2 linked regions of the Stegostoma tigrinum genome follow. The protein of the gene in region 2 binds, or shares a complex with, the protein of the main gene of each other region. Links are inferred from orthologs where the notes say so. Each region holds a gene or a part of one and is shown on either strand. Other genes may lie near its edges.

Region 1 (10,736 bases), on a different chromosome or scaffold from region 2:
CAGTCCTGCTGTACAATTGAATCAGTTTATTTATGCACACAAATTCCATCAATTTATTAACATACTGACTTCCTGATTCTTGAAACTATTTTAGCAGTATCAATTTCATATCAACCAACATCATTTAACTTTGGTCAGTTATAAGTGATACTCCCATGATCCTAACATAATAGGAACCAATGCCCTGTAAAGAAGCAAAATTGCTTAACACTATAAATATGCCAGGTGAAAAGTAAGTTTCTTTAAAAAAAATTTCAATTAATGAATAAATTAATTTAATTCATTCAATCTAGCACCAAAAACTTCTAATACAGCATTTACAGTTTCCATACAGCAAGTATATTTGTTTGTACTTATGTTGGCTTTCCAGCTGTGTACTTATTTCTCCTCTGGCAGTTATTAATGTTGAATTATCAGCCCACATTTCTCTTTTTCATATCTTTCACACTGTGTTTGACAGCTCTCTTCTCAAAAGCACAAGTGCAATTCAAGCACATTTCTTAGGAACGTGCAGCATAGCACTATCATTTTGCAATGATTCATTGCATGGTAAAGTCACCCAGTTGACAAGAACAACATGGCGAAGTTACATGAAGTCAGTCTTAAGGAACTATGTTATAATCACTTCTATATCCCATTCATTGGTTCTCATTTGACAGTTAGAAATAATTGTTTGAATTTAAAAGTTTTGCAACTTCAGGAATTCTCAAGTGCTTACTGCCACTGATTTATTCTCAAAGAGTAAATTATTGGCAGACATTATTAGCAAATGTGGCAGACAATTTTCACACTGCAAATCCAACGGTAGGCTAAATGACCAGGTGACCAGATTATCTGTTTAATATTTCTGTCATGTGCAGAAAATCCCTGGACCTGTTCATCATTGAGAGCGAAACCATCCCCTACCCTTACATAGCCAAAGCTTGCACTAATCCAAATCCTACACTTATTCTCTCTCTCATCATCTTTTAAAGGTATCTCCACGAAACCAATCTCCAGCTTTCTGATCCTTTCCCACTCAACTTCATCAACTTACATTTGTGATACTCATGTTCATTGGAATAATGAATAGTTCTATTATTTCAGAGGATATCATGTCCACATGGAGGCAAATAACACCTTCAACTCCTCTGGAATTTTAGGTAATGTCCTTTACTGCATAAATCCAACATCCAGTCACCTTCAGTTTGGTGTCCATTATTTTCACAATTCTATGTTAGAATTGCTATGGTTAGATTTCCACACTTTCTACAGGACTGGAAAAACATATTGCTTCTACCCATTTTCCAAATGTCATGGTCAACCATGCCATACTCATCTGACAACCTCCTTTTCTGTCAGGTTTAGTAGATCCATTCTTGCTTGGTTCCAATCTGACTGTTAGACTTTCAAGCAAAAAGTCTTCTCTTCCAATTTCAACACAGCTACATTTGGAGTACCTCATTTTGCCCCTCTACTTAGCAGTTGTGCCATCAAATATGAAGGTCCTAAAATGTGGAATTCCCCTGCCTTCACTGCTCCACTTCAACATCCCGCTGCCAACTTAATGATTATTCTTAAAAACATCTACTTGACCTTTAGGTCATTCTTCCTAATACCTTCTTTGACCCAGCATCTCTATCCCAGTGAAGAAGTTCAACTGTTGTGTCTTGTAAGTTCAAGTCTACTTTGTGGGGTTAACCATGTGAAGATAGGGAACAGAATTAGGGAAATGAAATAGGTGGGAGAGATTCAGAAATTTCTCAAAGGGCAAGATCAAAATGTCAAACCAAGAGTGCACTTAAACATTTCACTGCAGTTTTTTTTGTATTATCTTGTGGGATGTGGTTGTCATTCGCTAAGCTAGCAATTATTGCTCATTCCTAATAGTCCAGAAAGCAGTTAAGCAACTACCACATTGTTGTGGGTATGGAGAATGGCAGGCACTTTCCTTCCCTAAAACGGCATTAGTGAACCAGACATTTTGCTTTAAAGAGCAACAAATCAACAGCAGTTTCACAGTTAACATTAGACTCTTAGAATTTGAATTCAATAAGAATCTGGAATTATCATTTGCCATGGTGGATCCCCAGAACATTATGTTGGTCTCTGGATTAACTGTACTACAATATTAGCACCAGGTCATCAGCACTCCCTTCTATTTAGTTCCAACATACCTTATATCAGTTTAAACTTAAACTTCCAAGGCGACAACTGCAGCATTATACAACTTTCCACAAGTCTGAAGATTCCAAGAGATGCAACGATATTTATTCACAGTGCTCAGTTAACAAACAGCAAAACAATGCGATAAATAGGGATGTAGAATAGCTCTGTCCAAGCACTCTTGCCCATTGTTAAAGATCAGTCAAACGGGCCACCACATGCTTGCAACGCAGCTCCAATCTGCTCATCAAATACATCAGCTGTAGCTGTACTTGGATTTCCAGAAGGCACCTGACAAGGTTCCACATTTACTGCACAAAGTACAAGGAGGTCGTAATATGTTAGTATAGGCAAATGATTGTTTTCTGTCAACTAGCTAGACAGTGTGCATAAATGGATAACATAGAACACAAAACACAGGAAAGTACAGCACAGTACAGTACAGGTCCTTCGGCCCACAATGTTGTGCCGTGGAATAATCCTAATCCAAAAATAAAATAACCTAACCTACATTCCCCTCAATTCACTGCTGTCCATGTGCATGTCCAGCAGTTGCTTAAATGTCACTAATGACTCCGCTTCCACAACTACCATAGGTAAACTATTCCATGCGCTCACAACTCTCTGGGTGAAGAACCTCCCTCTGACGTCTCCTCTATACCTTCCTCCTAACACCTTAAAACTATGACCCCTCGTGGCAGTCAATCCTGCCCTGCGAAAAAGTCTCTGGCTATCAACTCTATCCCTGCCTCTCATTACCTTGTACACCTCGATCAAGTCACCTCTCTTCCTCCTTCTCTCCAGAGAGAAAAGTCCAAGCTCAGTCAACCTCTCCTCGTAAGACAAGCCCTCCTGTCCAGGCAGCATCCTGGTAAACCTCCTTTGCACCCTCTCCAAAGCCTCCACATCTTTCCTATAATAGGGCGACCAGAACTGGACACAATATTCCAAGTGTGGTTTCACCAGGGTTTTGTAGAGCTGCAGCATAACCTCACGGCTTTTAAACTCGATCCCCTGTTAATAAAAGCCAAAACAGTGTATGCTTTCTTAGTAACCTTATGCACCTGGGCGGCAACTTTGAGGGAGCTATGCACTTGAACGCCAAGATCCCACTGTTCTTCCACACTGCCAAGAATCCTGCCTTTAATCCTATATTCAGCATTTAAGTTCGACCTTCCAAAATGCATCACTTCGCATTTATCCAGGTTGAACTCCATCTGCCATTTCTCAGCCCAGCTCTGCATTCTGTCAATGTCTCGCTGAAGCCTGCAATAGCCCTCGATACTATCAACGGCACCTCCAACCTTTGTGTCATCAGCAAACAAACTAACCCACCCCTCAACCTCCTCATCGAAGTCATTTATAAAAACTACAAAGAGCAGAGGCCCAAGAACAGAGCCCTGCGGGACACCACTAAGCACTGACCCCAGTTCCACTGGGTTTGTTCTGGGGTGTCAGCTTCTGACAATTTGTATTGGAGCAAAGAAATTTTTGTGGCGTAGTGATCATGTGCCTTCCTTTGAGCTAGGATGCCTTAGTTCAAGTTTCATCTGCTTCAGAGGTGCACAATAACATTGCCAAACAGGCTAATTAGAAAACATCTTGATGGGATGAAGGCACAATAGCTCCTTTTGCAGACAAAGAAAGTTTGGAAATTACAAAAACAGATGGTGTTAGAGAAATTCAGTAGGTCTAACAGCATCTAAGCAAGAAGAAAAAGAATTGATGTTAAGTCTTTGAGCCTCTGAACAAGTCATACTGGACTCGAAACATTAACACTTTCCTTCTCTCTCTACAGATGCTGCCAGACCTGCTGAGCTTTTCCAGCAATTCCTGTTTTGGTAAGGTAATGAAATAATTTAGGATAAGAGTAAGTTGACTTAACAGCAATGATATCATAATAATATTCAGTTATGCAGGGCATCGGTGAGAATGACATCTCAAATACTGCATGCAGTTCTGGCCTCCTTATTTAAGGAAGGATTAAAACAGGTTGGAAACATTTAAAGGAGGTTTACTAGATTAGCGTAGGAATAAATTACTGCAGATGATGGAATCCGTACTGAAAATAACAAATGCTGGCAATCACAGCAAATCAAAAAACATCCATGGAAAAACAGCAAGCTAATCAGTGATGAAGAGTCATCGCGACTCGAAACATTAGCTTGGTCTCTCTCTATGGATGCTGTTTTCCTTACTAGATGAATAGGTTGTCTTGTGATGGGTTGAAAAGGCTGGACTTTTTCCATCTCTCACCACTGCCATCCACCATCCTCCCCACCCCCCCACCCAACTCAAGATGAGAATACAGAGAAATGACTTGATTGAAATACAGATTTGGCAAGGTGAATATGAAAACAAAGCTTCCCTATGAGGACGGTTAGACGTGGACTGATTCCCTTGTCTAACCACAATCTAGGTGATTTTTTTTGGTTTGGCGGGGGAGTGGGGGAAGCAAACAGCAGCACAGAATTCAAAGTGAACAGCACAGCAGGCACAGTGAACTGAATAGGCTCCTTCTGCTCTTACGTTAATACGTACAAAGTTGGAAAATCAGCCTTTTTATATAAACAATCACCAGTTACAGTAAATGAAACAAATTCAGCTCTAATATTGAATTCAGCTATAAATACACCCTTTTGCCCCCACCCCCAAAGAAACAAAAAATTGGCACACACTTCTTCAGCTGAGGGTGAATAACTGACCTTCTCCCAGGGCTGCTGCCAATTCCACTCAGTAACAAGTCAGTACAATGATCTACTGACCCATCGAAAAAATTGTGACAGAATAGATTTCGAAATTTAAAATAATAGTAAAACTCTTTGCAGGCATTCAAACAATCAAAGAAGTCACTTCCAGAATTCTCACAACCATGTAGTTTCTAAACACTACAATATATTTGATGTTAATTTTAAAAAACAAGAAACAATACATTTCAATTTTTATTTTAAGATTACCAATTCTGAACATTTAAAAGGGAACATTTCTACAGCATTTTGTTTATATGGACAAAAACCCTATTCTCTGAATCTAAGCAAATTAAACATTCAAACATAAATGTATTTCAGACCATCTGACACTCACCAGTGATTTACAAAATCATGTAAGCAAGCCATTTAAGCACAAAAAAGGTAGAAAATCAGCTTTTAAAAAAAAACCCAAAAGAACTGCAGATGCTAAAAACAAAAAAAAGTTGCTGGAAAAGCACAGCAGGTCTGTCAGTATTTGTGGAGAGAAATCAAAGTTAACCTTTCGAGTCCAGTGACCTTGGTTAAAAAATTCTGATTTCTCTCCACAGATGCTGCCAGGCCTGACTTTTTCCAGCTATTTCTGTTTTTGCTATAGAAAACCATGTTGCAATGTCAGGATAATTCACCCCTTTTTCCAATTCTGAAAATGGTTGGTCACGAAAGGGGCAAACAAGAAAGCCAGAAGTATGTGTGAATTAAAACTATAAAATTTCCTCCATTCAAGCATCCGCAATATGTTTCTTAGACACTAAAAGACTTCCCAATATTCAGGAAATTAAGTACATTACTGAAGACAGGAATGTAACCAAATTACTGAGTCTTCAAAAGCTTCCATGTGGCCCCACAAGTTGTGCTGCAAGAGTTAAATAACGTAATTAAACATATATAAAATGCAGTGATCATTCAGAAATAAACGTAGGGAAGAGATGGAAAACTTGCACACATTGAATCCTCTGACCACATATGGTGAAGGGCTTTGGTATTCCTCAACGGCACTACATGATATGCAGTTTCTCTTTTTGCAGTGCAACCTCCAGAGATCACAGCCCTCTTTGTAAATTTCCTTCAGATACCATACCCAACACTAACAAAATAAAACCATTTCCTAAAATAAAACACACAATGAACAGATTATAAACCGGGTAGACACCTGTACAGTGTACTCGGAGAGGAAGGGAGAGACAGAGCCTGGAAAAAAGTCCCATTTGCCTCCAAGAGTTCAAATGCGCAGGAAAGAGAGAGAGAGACACACACACACACACACACACAAAGGAAAAGGAGCAGCCACATACTCAAGATGGGATCTCCAAGGTGAGGTGAAAGCACCGGCCTTCCTCGCTTGAGAAAGTGGACGTCAACAACACCGGCCACACATACACGAAATAAAATAATATTTTTGACCCATTAAAACTTAAATTGAAAGCCATATAACAAAAGAAACTGAAAAGCTCTCCGGAGGAAAGCTAAAGGGAAGATGGTGTGTGTGTGTGTGTGTTTGGGAGAGGAGGGGTGAAGTGGGCGTTGCTTGGGAGGTGTTTGGCAGTGGGATGGTAAGTTTCTCCAGCAGAGTCAAGATAATGGAGGGTTTGTTACTCACTGCGCGACACCTGTTCATTTAAAGCCCGAATAGTACAGAATGACGGTGGTGAGGGACAGCTCCTGGCGTTCACTCACTCTCATTCACACAGCCACTCTCTCTCTCTCTCTGTGCTGCCTCCTCCTATCCCAGGGCCGGTGTTACCATGTGTTCCAGCCGCCGTCGCTAGGGGACGTCAGCGTCAGGTCATAGGTCAACCCTGAAGTGTGGGACCAGGAGAGAAAATTAATCACAATAACAAACAGCAAACAAAAGTGACCACACTCATTCAGGTTTTTTTTTAAAAAAAACCTTTGATTTTAGAAAAAAACGCAACTCCATTGTTGTTTCTGCCCTCCCTTCCTCCACTTGGGCTCTCTGTGTAACCATGTCCCACCCTCGCGTCATTTCCGCTCTCTATATTTCCCGCCAATCTTTTCTTACCGCCTGCAGTGAGTCTGGGTTAGGTTCTTCATGGTGTTTTGTTGCCAGTTGGACTGGCACATCCATGAATTGTAGTTTCAATTTTATACTGGAAGAAAATGCAACCATTTAAAATATAGGACTGCAAATGCAGGAACGCAGGGTTGATAAAATGTGGAGCTGGAGGAGCTCAGCAGGTCAGACAGCGCCGGAGGAGACGGACATTCGACGTTTTGGGTCTGTGGACCCCTCAGCCTTTACCTGATACAAACAGAGTTAACATTTCAAGTCCAAAGATTCAAGAAACAAAGAACTGCAGATACTGGGAAACTGAAGCAAAAGCAAAAACAGAAACTCAGTAGGTTCTGAACAAGGGTCCCTGGACTCAAAATATTAACACTGCTTTCTCTCCACAAATGCTGCTGAGTTTCTCCAGCAATATTTTTTTGTTCTGCCTTTGACACATTCATTTTGCCTAACAAAATGCAAATGATGGTCCTGAACGAATGATATTTGTTACAGTCTTTCTAATACTTCCTCCAAGCCCTTCCCCCAACCACCACCTTTCATTTTGGCCTATGTCAACTGGTTGCTGCAAGTTTTGCTTTTGAAATAACTCAACAGAGGAAGGTATCCTGTCACCAAACCAGGCTTTGATAATGGTCTGAGATAATCGGAACTGCAGATGATGGAGAATCCAAGATAACAAAGTGTGAAGCTGGATAAGCACAGCAGGCCAAGCAGCATCTCAGGAGCACAAAAGCTGATGTTTCAGGCCTGGACCCTTCATCAGAGAGGGGGATGGAGAGAGGGGGAGGTGGATTGAAGATGGATAGAGGAGAACATAGGTGGAGAGGAGAGTATAGGTAGGGACGGGATCCCCACTTTGTTATCTTTGATAATGGTCTGGCTACCTCAGAGCTAGTTCTCAGAGTGAACGGAACTTCTGACACTCCTGATCATACCTGTCAGCCAGGGCTCACTGATTGAACCAGGTTAATAGCTCCAATCAGGGAACTCTGAGATCCACTTGGCAGACTCCATTCCAATTCTGCAACCCTTCCCGTCTAGGTCCTGGGACATAGGCCTGTTCTTATTTGTTAGCTTCTCCTGGGACACTTTCTCACTGAATCTGGTTCTTCCAACTCAGCCTTGGATACAGGCAGCTTGTATCGGACCGTAGCCTCCCACTTGTGTCTGGAACGTCTTTGAGGAAATTTATCTTCTTCTTAAGGTGGTGAAGGCATTAAGAATGCGTAATCCTCTGTGTCCATCTCCAGTTCTAATGTTTCTTCGATGCTAGACGGAGGGGAGAACCCCAGGGTTCTGACAGAGTTTCTGACTATTCTGACAGTCCAGGCGTGTTTTGCTGCTATCCTGCTGGTGGGTTTACAACTTTCGTGTGCTCCGCATGCTTGTCCAGGACCACCTCACCGACCTGAACTTTGTATGTCTCAGGACCTGACTCTGCATTGACCTCGCTTCTTATCCATGCAGGGTCGTTTTCCTGGTATCGGCACCAAACTTGATTCCTAAAGCAAACTGTTTCTCTTGCTTAGAGGAGTCTTGTGTCCAGCAGTGGTTGTCCTGATTCTGCATCACCCTGCCCATCCGAAGGTCCAGGAAAATCAGATTTAACCTCATGCGGAGCCTGCTCCCCATTGGCAACTCTGCTGGAGCTACCCCTTAAGATATACGATATAATGTTCCGCTAATCAAATAGAAACCAGAGCAGTTTGGTATCTAGTGAAATGAGTGCAATGTTTCCAAATTTGCAGATGATACTAAGCTGGGTGGCAGTGTGTGCTGTCAGGAGGATGCTAAGAGGCTGCAGGGTGACTTGGACTGGCTCAGTTGGCAAGCGCAATATAATGTGGATTATCCACTTTGGATGCAAAAACAGGAAGGCAGTTTATTATCTGAATGGTGGCAGTTTAGGAAAAGGTGAAGTGCAACAAGATCTAGAAACAATCACTGAAGGTTGACTTGCAGGCAGTGAGCATAGCTAATGGCGTGCTGGCTTTTGATAGCAAGAGGATTTGACAACCGGAATAGTGATGTCTTGCAACAGTTATACAGGGCCTTCTTAAAAAAAGTCTTCTGTTCTGAGGAAGGGCTTTCTTGCTATTGAGTAGGTTCACCAGACTGATTCCTGGGATGGCAGGATGAACATATGAGGAAAGACTAGATCACATTTACTGGAATTTAGAAGAATGAGCTGGTGATCTCATAGAAATATACAAAATCCTGATAGGACTGGACATGCCAGATGCGAGAAGAATGTTCCTGATGTTGGGGAAGTCCAAAACTAGGGGTCACAGTCTAAGGTCTAAGCCATTCATGAGGAATATGATGAAGAATTTCTTCATTCAGAGTTGTGAACCTGTGGAACTCCCTTCTACAGGAAGCTGCCGGGGCCAGTTCATTAGATATATTCAGGAAGAGTTGGATGTGGCCCTTGCAGCTAAAGCGATCAAGGAATATGGGGGAAATACAGGAATAGGATACTGAGATTGCATGATCAGCCAGAATCATATTGAATGGTGATAGAAGCACAAAGGGCTGAATGGCCTACTCCTGCACCTATTTTCTGTGTTGGCTGTTTCTTTAACTTCCCCAAAGGCTGTGTCTTGGCTAGAAGACTGTTTCGAAGGCTGACCCTTTTTCAATGGTGGATGTAAGGGTGGCAGGATGGAGGCCAGGTACATCCAAACCTCCTGTGATAATTCACCAATCCAAGGAAAGACCTAAGCTCCAGCACAGCCATGAGAACCAAGACACCTTTGATCTCCCTCACTTTGTTTTCAAATGGGTGTAATCTAATCCCGTTGACTCTAGCCCAAGTAGGTCACTTGAGTTGACTGGAACACACATTTTTGCCTTCTAAGGTGTACCCCCATCTTGGAGAAATATCTAAAGACCTTGAAAAATGTTTTCCATCATCCGCTGAAAAAGGCACATGATGATGCCTTAAATGGCAGTTTTTTATGTGGTGCAAACGGTTATAGGTTTTAATTGTAACATACTTCTGGGAATTTTCATCTAACTGCAGATGCAGTTATGCATGGCTCAGCTCCAGCTCTGTGAAGGACGGCACCCTGACCAACTCTGTGTATGAGACCTCTATGCAAGCAATTGGGTATTTATCCAGCTGCGAGAAACAGTTTACTGTTTGTTTAAAATCCTCACAAACGCGAACCAACCCATCGCACTTCGCAATCAGTACGACAGACACTGCCATTCCACAAGTCTTCTAGTTTGATGATCCTTTCGCTTTCCAGTCTCCTAATATCTGCCACTACTTTTGGATGCGAGACAAATGGCATTGTTTCCTGATCAACATGCAATCCCCTTGGCTCCTTTGATAGTTCCTAGACTTTTCTGATAAAACTTATGGGTACCTAATTTGCTTTTCACTCAGGCATGTTGAATCAATGAAAGTGAATCTTTCTCAAGCAATTTCATCAGGCTTGGGCCCGAGTCTTTTACAACAATCAATGCTAATGGAACCGTCTGCTTCTCATACGAGACTGGAACTGAAGTTGTACCCTTAATCTATTAAAGATTGCCTAGTATAGGTTCTCAGTCCAGCCGGGGTCTTAAGAAAACTAATGTGTTGATGTTCAGCGCGAATTTTGTTAAAGACTGGTTCTGCAATCACTGATACAGCCGTGCCGCTATCAACCTCCATTTGACCTGGGAGATCATTTAACCAGCTGTTTATTTTGATTGGTTCTGATTTAGGTTTTGCTAAACAATTTAACTGTTCCAACTAGAAGTAGGTGGGCTTTCCAGGATGTGTACTCTCCTGGATGACGGCGTATGACTTCTCTTATTCAATT
Region 2 (10,736 bases):
CTGGGGTGAAATCTTTCCCTTTAGATCGATATCAGGCACCTTAAAAAATGAGACTTCTTCCTTCTTGCGCTCAACAGAAGTGCTGATGGGAGCAGGCTTTTTCTTCACCTTGACCTGCGCTGTAGAAGGAACAGAAAATTGAAAAAACAACTGGAACTGACTGAGAGTCTTTGAGCCACTTGTGATTTGCTCCCAATCCTCTGCTACCATCTCAGCAAATCAACACAGGTCATTCCCATTTGAAATGTCAATCATTTTTCATGTGAGATCCCAGCTTAAAAAAAGAGCACCATCCATCATGAAGCTCACGTGCACCCTTCAAAGGCCAGAAGATTATTCTCTGTGACTGTCGGATGATCGACACCAAGTGTGTTCTGCACTATTGGAGATGCGATACTGAAGAAGCACTGCATCAGAGGGGGAGGACCGCGGGACCACTGTATCATTGGAGAAGCACTACAGTTGGGAATGTAGAGCTGTTAAAGAGGGACAGTCTTTGTAGTCTAAGGGCCTTTTCTCAGCTTTGATTACTTGTATCTTTACGGGCTGGAAATCAATATTATTGCACAAGAGTCACAATGCTGTATAACTGATTTCTGTGCCCTCGATTGAGGAGCCTGAAGCTAGGTGGCACTTTCACAAAAGGCAGAACATTACTGAGCAGGTACAATGAGCAGTTACAGAGGCAAATGGCACTTTAGTCTTAATTGCCAATGGAACGGAATCAAGAAAGTCAGGCTCCAAACGTACAGGGCTTTAATGAGGCCACATCTGGAATTGTGGATGCAGTCCATATTTTAGGAAGGATAGACTTGCCCTGAAATTGGTGCCAATGTTGTAACTGTCAACTGTCATTCAAAACCCACGTGGTTCACTCCTCCTTTAAGAAATTTGCTTGTGGTAACTAAAAGGTAAAGTCGCCATAATCCTACCATTAGAGATGCACAACTGGTTGTGATTTAACCCGAGGGTCACTGAGGTGAGGGGAGAGGTTGCGAAGGGAAGTCCCTCACAGGTAACTTCAGCCAGTGCAGGAATTAACCCAAGCTGTTGGCATCGCTCTGTATCGCAAACCAGCCAACTGAGATTTTTTCTAATTATTCATTTCGTGGGATGTGGGCGACACTGCCTGGCGGGCATTTCTCACCCATCCCTAGTTGCCCTTGAGAAGGTGATGGTGAGCTGCCTTCTTGAGCCGCTGCATTCCTCCTGCTGTGGGTTGACCTACAATGCTATGAGGGGGGGAATTCCAGGATTTTGACCCAGCGACAGTGAAGAAACGGTCAGGGTGGCGAGTGGCTTGGAAAGGAGCTTGGAGGTGGTGGTGTTCCCATGTATCTGCTGCCCTTGTCCTTCTAGATGGAAATGGTCATGGGTTTGGAAGGCACTGCCTGAGGATCATTGGTGGATTTCCTCAAAGTCGGAGATAACAGAAGTGACAGGAGTAAAGTCTTTTCACAAGGGGTCAGATTGGAAGACACAACAGCAGAATGCAGGCTCAGTTGGGGTTTTCTACAGGGAATGTGACTGCCATCTGTAAAGGAAGAACGTGCAGGATTACAGCGAGAAGATGGAGAATGGCACAGAGATGCTTATTCAGAGAACCAGTACAAATAGTGGGGCAAATGGCCTACTGCTGCACCATAAAAAAAAATCACACGAGCTTCAAGGCAGCGGCACACCCTCACGTTTTCAAAGGGAAAAAGAGCAATAAATGCCTGTCTTGCTTGTAGCACCAATGTCCCTGGAATGAATTTGCACAAGAAAGTAGAAGGAAATTGATCCATCCTCTGCTTTACAGGGTGTCCTGTGGTGAATCAGCATTAGTGTTGCAGTTTTTGGTGTAATGTAAGTCATACTAAACATGTATGTAACCTTGGTTAGGACCACACAAGTCGTGTTTGGGCTACTAAAGAAAGAACTTGAGCGGCACCAAAGGGCAAGAAAAAAGTATGCTAAAAGTCCAAGAACTGAGATACACGTGAAAAAAAAGTGGACAGACTGGGGGCTCTCTGCTCTAAGCAGGTCCAAGTTCAAGATCATGGATAATTTTGATAGGACAGATACACGTAAATTTCCAAGAGCAGGAAATACCAGAACCAGCAGCCATAAATCAATGGTGGTCACTTATAAATCCAACAGGAAATTCAAGAGAAACGGTTGGACTGTGGAACACACAAACACAGTGGAAATTTGAGATCATCAGCAGAGATGCGTTTAATGGCAAGGCAGATCAACAAGACAGAGAAACAAACAGAAGGATATGCTGAATATGCATTTCTGAAAAAAAGGGTCTGGGTTCAAAACGTCAGCCTTTACACTCCTCTGATGCTGCTTGGCCTGCTGTGTTCATCCAGCTCTGACACCTTGTTATCTTAGAAGGACATGCTGAATGGGTGAAAAGAAGATGACAGAGAGGACATTTGTATAGACGATAGACATTGGCACAAAGTTGCAAGACAGAATGGTCAGTCCCTGAAATGAAATGCTGAATAATCCTGTTGAGAAGGAGATTAGTGACGCCACCCCCAACTTCAAAAGCCATCACTTCGAAACTCCTATTGTTTCTACTTACTATTATCTGATTCGTCGAGGATCTCAGATTTGATTATTTCTTCGATGACATCCCCAAGGGTCACTAAACCAAGCACCTCGTAGAAGGGATCACCATCGCCTTCGTTGTTCACCTTCTGAACCATTGCCATATGAGATTTGCCTCAAAACAAAAAGACAAACACAGCATTGTTATAACCACAGAACAGGGTTAGATAATAAAAAACAACCAAGATTAACTTGGATTTAAGTCTTTTTCAGAGAGGTTTAATTTCCTTGCTGCTGTACATCTCCCGCTCTGATAATCTGCAAATATGGAAAGGACAAAGGAGAGACTAGAACTAAGGGGTGTTGCTTACAAATTAGAGGTCTCCTGTTCCAGACAGAGGGGAAAACTCAGACAGCAGTAAAAGCAGGGTCACTGAATATTTTTAAGGCTGATTCAGAACTGATAGGGGAGTCAAAGATATTGGGAAGTCATTTACATTTAGTTTCTTTATTCTTCAATGGGATGTGGGTACTGCTGGAAAGGCCAGCATTTGTTGCCCATCTCCAGATGTCCTATACTGAAGTGGTTTACTTGGCTATTTCAGAGGGCTGAGTCAACCACATTGCTGTGCACCTGGAGCGGCTTTCCACTAATTTTCTTGCTGGCTGCTCAAGTCTCCAAGGCACGTGCACAGCATTGTCTTCTGGAATTGGGAGTCAATGCCGCATCGGAAGTCAATGCTGCATTTGGAATCTTTTCCACCGATCGCCGTGCATACAACACAAGCACAACTGGCAACTAGGAGGGGACACTATTCTGGAATCTCACTGGCCAGACCGGGTAAGTATGAAGAACGTCCTTCCCTAAAGGGCATTTAGTGATCCAGATGGGTTTTTAAGGCTATCAACAATAAGTTTTTATACCTTCACCAACTCCAGTTTTATATACCAAAATAATTCACTGAATTCAAGTTCTGTCAGCCTCTGGATTACTAATTCAGTGACATTACCACCACCTTCTCTTAGCTTGTTTTACTGAACGTTGAGGTCTACTGAAAGGGAATTAGAATTAGGCTGAATTTGAAAATAAAAGCGTGCGCATGATTATGGAGAGGAGGAGGAAAAATGTTAATCAGTGAATTGCACAAACAGAATGGTGTCTTTCTGTCCTGTAACAGTTCTGTGTTGCTTTTGCACACCCTGATTGAGAGTGGTAGGCCCTTTTGCTCTAAGCCTTCAGCTGAAGTTGCTCAGTACCCCGTGTGTGTGTGTGTGTGTGTGTGTGTGTGTGTGTGTGTGTGTGTGTGTGTGTGTGTGTGTGTGGCGGGGGGGGGGGGGGGGGGGGGGGGGGGCGGCAGCATCTGGCTGGCATTTCAGGCAATCACTGCAAAGAAAGTTTGAAGTTAATATATCAACAACCCGTACTCAAGCTCCTAACAGGAGTCAGGGGATCCTGGCTAAATCGGTCAGGAGAGGCAGAATGGGACATAAAATCCTGGAAAAATGAACTGGGCATTCTCAAATAAAACAGTAGGTTTCTCAAATTGACAATGGAAAGTGGGACCATAATTGTGCTTCTGCTCACAAATTCAAACAGGATACATTGAGATGATCTAGAAAGCAAATGAGAGGCCCCTCTACATCTTAAAGTAGAAGTCATCAACAATATTTAGCCACACCAAGATCTGACATTGATACAAATGCTTTTAGATTGAGAAATGTTTTAGAAATTCCCTAACCAGTTCAAGCAACAGTTCATGACCTGAAGGCTGCCTGCTAACTCTTGCTCATGAATAGGAGTTATTAAATATAAATCATCTCTCAAGATAATCACTATAAAACTACTTCAGCCCTACTGAACCTCTACAGTGGATCTTGTAGAATAGGTATCAGTAGTTGACCGTGTCCTTAGCTGGAATCTAGCCCCCTTGTGACAAAGCAGATAAGGCAATTTGTGTCAATGAGTGCTGACAAACAGCAAAGCGTTAACAACCGCCACCAAACCTTTTGAGTTATCGAGCTTCATGGCTTCAGGTCAACCACTAGAATAGGCATCAGTGAGCCTATCAGGTGGAGGCCATTCAACCCACCGTGGTCTTTCAAAGGACTTCCTCCACGCTCCACCTGATATACATTTTAAAGTTACCAGTGAATCTGCCAACATCACCCTTTCAGGTCCTGCAAACTCTTGTGCTGCCTTTGGTTCTTTCGAAACTGAAATTTTGCACACTCTGGTTACTGACCCTCCAATTACTGGAAACATTTTCTCCCAGTTTTATTAAAAATCATTTACAATTTGGAAAAACATCAATCGACTCTCCTTTTCCCTGGTATGAGAATAACTGCAGCTCCTGTCCTTAAAGTGAATTTAAAAGGTGTAGAAGCAGAATAGTCCATTCAGCCCATCAAATCTGCTGCTATTCGATGAGATCGTGGTTGACCGAGTAATCAACTCCACTTTTCTGCCTTTTCCCCCATGTCTTTTGATTCCCTTAAATATTACAAACATGTCTGTCTCAGAATTTAAATGCAAATAAAGCTAGTCTCAGTGTTTGCAACTCTGACAATTGTTGTCAATTCACGTAAAGATGGCAGATGGGTTTTTACCCGATCTGGCTTATATGACTCCGATCGACAGCAACGTGGTTGACTCTGAACAGGTCAGGCAAACAACTCAGTTCATGGGAAATCGGTGATGGTCAGCAAATACCCACATCGCATAAAAGAGAGAGAAAAGGTCTTTTCTTCCTTCAGTTATCCATCCAGAATATTCAACACAATATCTCTCACTGTGCCACTCTAAGACTATTTCTAAAACTGATGTTTTTGTTAAACACAACCGTGTCAACTTGCCTAACTGCAGTTCGAGAATCGTGTAGGTGATCCCACAACTGAACTACAGCACTAGATTGTGAAATAGGACCAGAGTAGAAAGAACCTGGGAGAGAAACAAAATTGAAACATACAATAAAACACTCTGTGGTGCTTCTCTAGCAGGGCCCCTGGATTACAGTGGGGAAAAACATGGTGGTGTGTGAAGATCTCCAGGCAGATCTAAAAAGTTCAGGTCACCACGAGCACACCTTGTTCAAAAGCCCTTCAGAAAGCATGGGGCAAATTAATGTTTCCTTTTGGATGGTGGAACAGATTCCACCAGTGATAAACAATCACCTTTCTTAAACTCTTCCAGGACAGCATCCAACTTGGTGTCATTGAACACAAAATGCAGGGGGTGGTTGTAGAATTTGATGATGGTATTCAAAGGAGTGCAGTCCTCAGGGTCGACCATGGCCAAGTCTTTCACGTAGACAATGTCCACAATGTTGGATATCTCCCCCTCATAGACTGGGATCCTGGTGTAGCCACACTGCATGATTTCAGACATGGTGTTGAAGTCCAGCACAGCTTCAGCACTGAGCATGAAACAGTCCTTCAGGCTGGTCATGATGTCCTCCACGACTTTGGTCCTCAGTGTACCACGGCTGAACTCCTCCTTGACAAATTCGCTGTAGGGGTCGGTGGAGCGCAACATGTCCAGGATCTTCTCACGGACGTAGCAGGTGCTGACGTCCTGGCGCAGGGCGCAGTCCAGTAGCAGGGCGACGGGAAGGACCAGCGGCGATGCCAGCACCACCAGCAGGCGGGTCAGCCAGGTAGCATGGGAGGCCACGGTGAAGCCGTACCGCGAGCAGATGGCATAGGGCACCACTTCACCCAGGAGGAAGAGCAGGCCGGCACAGGCCAGCACGGCCGGCAGGACAGTGCCCACTGCATGGTGGAGCAGCACTGCCAGGCACGAGCTGGCGAGCACGTTGCCCAGCACCAGGGAGCAGAGCACCAGGTTCCCCCGCCGCCTCAGGGGCTCTAGCGACTCGGCTCGCCGCTTCTCCGCCTCGGTGCCGCAGTGGCGGATGATGTGCAGCTCCAGGGGCTCCAGCCACAGCACGCTGAGGCGCAGCAGGTTGAGAAGCGCCGAGGCGAGCAGCAGGACGGCCAGCGCCAGCACCTGGCCCCACACCGACAGCGGGGACGGCGGAGGCCGGATGTCCAACGGGGTCTCCCAGCCTCCAGGGGGCTGCCACAGGCCCCTCTCCCGGTGCACCAGGGCGCACAGGTAGTAACGCCTCCCCCGCAGGCCGGCCCGGACGCTCACCAACACCGAGCCGTCCGTCTGGTTATCCCCCAGGTCCAGCCAGGCCGTCTCCAGGCTGCCGCTGCCGCACTCGGGCTCGGGGCTGTAGGCCAACCAGGGCCAGCTCTCGGCCACCAGGCGCCGGCCGAACACCCTCAGCTGGAAACGGGCCCCAGCGCCGGCTTCGATAGCGCCACCCGCCATCCGCACCGGGCCTCCGCCTTCGCCACTACTGCCGCCGCCCTCCAGCCGGACCCCCCGCACCTCGACCTCGCCCCCGTCCGGCTGCCCGGACGCCAGGGCCCACAGGGCGGCCAGCGCCAAGCGCAGGCTCCCGTCGACCGCCGCCATATTCGCGGGAAGGTGGGCAAATGTGAGGGGGTGGGCTCATCTTGAGCCCGCCCCGTTTCCGTGGACAACCTAACTCGCTCGTTGACCCTGCCGACCAATCGCTGACCTCTGCCGCTGATTGAGACCCTCTCCGTCCAATTGCCGGCCGAACTCGCCCGATTGACGGCTTCAACCACTCCATCCTTGGCACGCTCCTGTTGTCCGACAGTCGCCCCATCCAATCGAGACTCGAAGCAGCGACTGACCGGCATCCAACCCGGCCACTAATCGTGCTCTGCGCCCCACCCAACGTCCCACACTGGCCAATCATAATCAGAAGGGGACAGGGAGACCACCTTTGCCCAAGGTTGGGTGAGTGTGCAGGGTAAACAACACCCAAAGCAGTGATTCTTAAAGGGGGAAAGTCACCAGGATCCTCACCACAAATACGACACACCTCTCCCCCTAGTGAAAACAATAGCTGCATTACAGAAGGAATCTGCTTTTGTTTTATTTCAAGGTCCCACCCTCAAACATTTTCCAACTGAATACAGAAAGCTTGTGTCGAATTGGAAAAGGGATTTTACTTCGTTTGAAGTGACTGGGTTAGAGCAGCAGAATTAGTCCATTCAACCCAAGTCTGCTCTACCCTTGATCCCCTTAAAGGCAAACACATCTCTCGCTTAAATACACGCACTGACTTGACCTCTACAGCCGCGAGTTTCACAGATTCACCATGCCCTGGCTGGGGATTCTTCCTCATCTCAGTCCTAAACTGCCATCCCTTCATCAGAGGCTGTGCTCTCACGTACAATTCTCTCCTACTAATAAGAAACACCTTGTCCACTTTTATCCAGATCTCTCTGTATTCTGTTTCAATCAGATCCATCCACCATCCCTCTGAACGCCATCAAGTGCAGAGTCCTCCACTGCTCCTGAACATGACAAGCCCTCCATCCTCAGGATGAGTCTTGTAAACCTCCCGTGTCCCCTCAACTGGCGGCATATCCTTCCTTCAGTACAGGGCCCAAAACTGCTCACACTTTTCCAAGTGCAGTCTAACCACAGCCTTATAGAGCAGTACATCCCTAGCATTCTATTCTCACTCTCTCAGAGTGAGTGCTAACACTAATGCTGCATTAGCCTTCCTAACTGCCAACTAAACCTGTATGTTAACCTTACAGAACCCTGAATTAGCACTCCCAAGTCCCTTTATGCCTCAGTTTTCTGATGCCTTTCCCCATTTAGAAAATAGGGAGGAACAAGAGGTGTAACCTAAATGCATCACCTCTCACCTTCCCACATCATGGCAGATGGAACACATTTTTGCCTAGTCTCTTCACCTGTCCAAGCCCTTCTGCAGCCTCCCTGCTTCCTCAAGACTACCTGGCCTTCCACCTATCTTTTTTAAAAATAAAATCAAAAAGAACTGTGAATGCTGTAAATCAGGAACAAAAACAAAGTTGCTGGAAAAGCTCATCTGTGGAGGAGAAAATAGAGTTAACGTTTCAGGTCCAGTGACCCTTCCTCTGTTTTTCCCCTCCACAGGCAAAATCTGCCAAAACAAAGGGTACCCTGGATAGCACTGGGGTCTCCAGTAACTAACTTTAAGCCACATGGATTCTGGGCTGATGATTTTTAAAATTAGAAGTCTTTGAGATGGCCATCCATTCGAGAATGGGATAAAACCAATTGCAACACAGATACAGGCCATTTGGCCCATCTGTTCAATAGCCGTATTTATGCACCCTAACAGCCAGCTACAGAAGGCTGCAGAGTCCTATATTTAAGAAATAAATGAATTTCTAGTCAGTCAAGACATGTAATAGAGGGGGGGAAAGAGAAGGTAAAGGGTCGATCAAAATTTGGTACTGAACCAAGCAAAATAGTACTACAGGTCTTTAAGAAGGGTCACAAAAGAAGAAAGGATGTACAATGGCTGGAGTGATTCCAAGAGCCACCTCCTGTTTTTCCCCTTGATAAAAGGCAGAAATAGGAATGAGTGTAGGCCAATCAATCAGCCCATAGCAACTGCTCCATCATTCGTCATGATCGACCTTTTACCTTCTCTCCCTGTACTATTACATGCCTTGAACGACTAGAAATTCATTTATTTCTTAAAAAATATAGGACTCCACAGCCTTCTGTAGGCAGAAATTTCCACAGGTTCACCACCCTGAATGAAGGCATTAGGACTGGGGCAAGGATTAAACAGCCTCCCTACATCCGGAGACCACGTTCTATTCATATTCTCCTCGCCACTTGCCTCTCAAGTACCAAGATATGTTTAGTGAAAAGCTAGTTTTGTTAATGATCTGTCTCCAAGCCAACATTGAGTACAGTGAGGCAAATCAGGAGGAGTTTTGTTACTATCGATTCCAGTTAATAGCTACCTATTAGTTATGGACAGACATACTATTCCTGTCTATCAAACTTCTTCAGAATTTTAAAGACCCTTTTGAGAGGCATGCCTTCTTTCTTCTACCTCTTGGCTACTGTTTCCTATAATACAAACTTGATTGCAATTCAGAACTACTCTATTGGGTAGAACAAACCGGTGGATAGCTGGAGGGCTCAAGGTGCTATAGAGATGCAAGCTCTCATTTCCCATGAACTTGGTAGTATACAGCACAGATTTTCTTTATGAATGCTAGTTATTGGGGGAGGGTAAAGTGGCTTGAATTCAGTGTTGTAACAGGGCACTGTGAAACAAAATTTGGTGCTAAGCCACGCAGCACATTAGGACAGGTCTTTAAAGATGGTCAACAAGAGAAGAAAGAGGTGCGATGGCCAGAGGGATTTCCAGAGCCGAGGGCCTGGGAACGGCTGAAGGCACGGCTGCCAACATTGGCACAGGTTAAATGAGGAAAGCTGAAAACGGATAAAGGGAACACAGACGGAGTGCTAAATGAGGGAGATTTACTCCACAAAGACATTTGAAAATAAGAACGAGAACTTTAAAAATCAAGACATTGGTTGACGAGCACAGGTCAGGTCAGGTCAGGTCAGGTCAGTGAGCACTTTGTAGTGAATTTTGCCAGTCTTGCCATTTAGCAGGAACCTAACTCTACTCTCCAAACAACACTGGGTACAATTCTCAGATTTAAAAAGCTCTTTGAATCCCTTGCATTGGGCCATGTCCTTAGTAATAATCACTATTCATACTCAGTTTGGTTCTCTAAATACACATGCACCTTTTTGGAACAGGCTCTTTTGAAGTTACTTGCAAAGTTCAAGGTAAAGCTTAACTTGTAAGTCAAGATAAATGCAGACTTGGTGCTGAACCCTATGCTTCCCCCACTGTATAATCCCCTACCATGGTACTTGGAAAACAATGCATCATGTTGCAGCAAATCCACAGGGAATCTGTAACCAGGGCTCCCTCACATCCAATCACATCAGAAACAGAGCACTCTACATTTGGCTCACAACTTGTGTTTCAACAGCTTAAGGACAGGCTCCAGCACACCTTCAGTCAGAAGGGAAACAGCAAGAAAGATCTAGTAACACATGAAAAGAAGAATTTATCTCCTTAGCCTCCTCCCTCCAGTTCTATTTAATTAACACAGAGGCAAAAAGCAAGCCTGAAATGTGCCTCAATCTGGAACGACAAGTAAGGCATTCTGAAGATTCCTAATTGATAACTTATCCACCGTGCATCCCAGTTGGGCCAACATTTGTTACCCCTTGTTAATTTCCCTCAAACTCATGCTACTGGGCCATTTCAGAGAGC

The links.
Region 1: the proteins of metal transporter CNNM3 (region 2) and protein tyrosine phosphatase type IVA 3-like are in contact, whole or in part, in a crystal structure (PDB 5TSR), measured with the Homo sapiens proteins. The link is inferred for Stegostoma tigrinum from reciprocal best matches to the Homo sapiens genes CNNM3 and PTP4A3. Residues at the interface, in NP_060093.3 of Homo sapiens: Ser357, Asn358, Phe394, Asp396, Lys418, Val419, Asn421, Glu424, Gly425, Asp426, Pro427, Phe428, Tyr429; in NP_001425170.1 of Homo sapiens: Asn5, Pro7, Asp72, Gly73, Ala74, Val105, Ala106, Leu108, Gly109, Arg110, Arg137, Arg138, Gly139, Ala140, Ile141, Asn142, Lys144, Gln145.

What each region holds. Positions count from the first base shown.
Region 1 is NC_081358.1:110,694,650-110,705,385, reverse strand, and holds the start of protein tyrosine phosphatase type IVA 3-like, read right to left. Parts: upstream 6,662-10,736; 5' UTR 6,570-6,661; exon of another isoform or gene 6,493-6,569; intron 6,400-6,492; exon of another isoform or gene 6,188-6,399; intron 6,122-6,187; exon of another isoform or gene 6,046-6,121; intron 2,176-6,045; exon of another isoform or gene 2,157-2,175; intron 1-2,156. UniProt on the Homo sapiens protein: Protein tyrosine phosphatase which stimulates progression from G1 into S phase during mitosis. Enhances cell proliferation, cell motility and invasive activity, and promotes cancer metastasis.
Region 2 is NC_081393.1:16,747,335-16,758,070, forward strand, and holds the start of metal transporter CNNM3, read right to left. Parts: upstream 7,028-10,736; 5' UTR 7,025-7,027; coding exon 5,713-7,024; intron 2,717-5,712; coding exon 2,576-2,716; intron 120-2,575; coding exon 1-119. UniProt on the Homo sapiens protein: Probable metal transporter.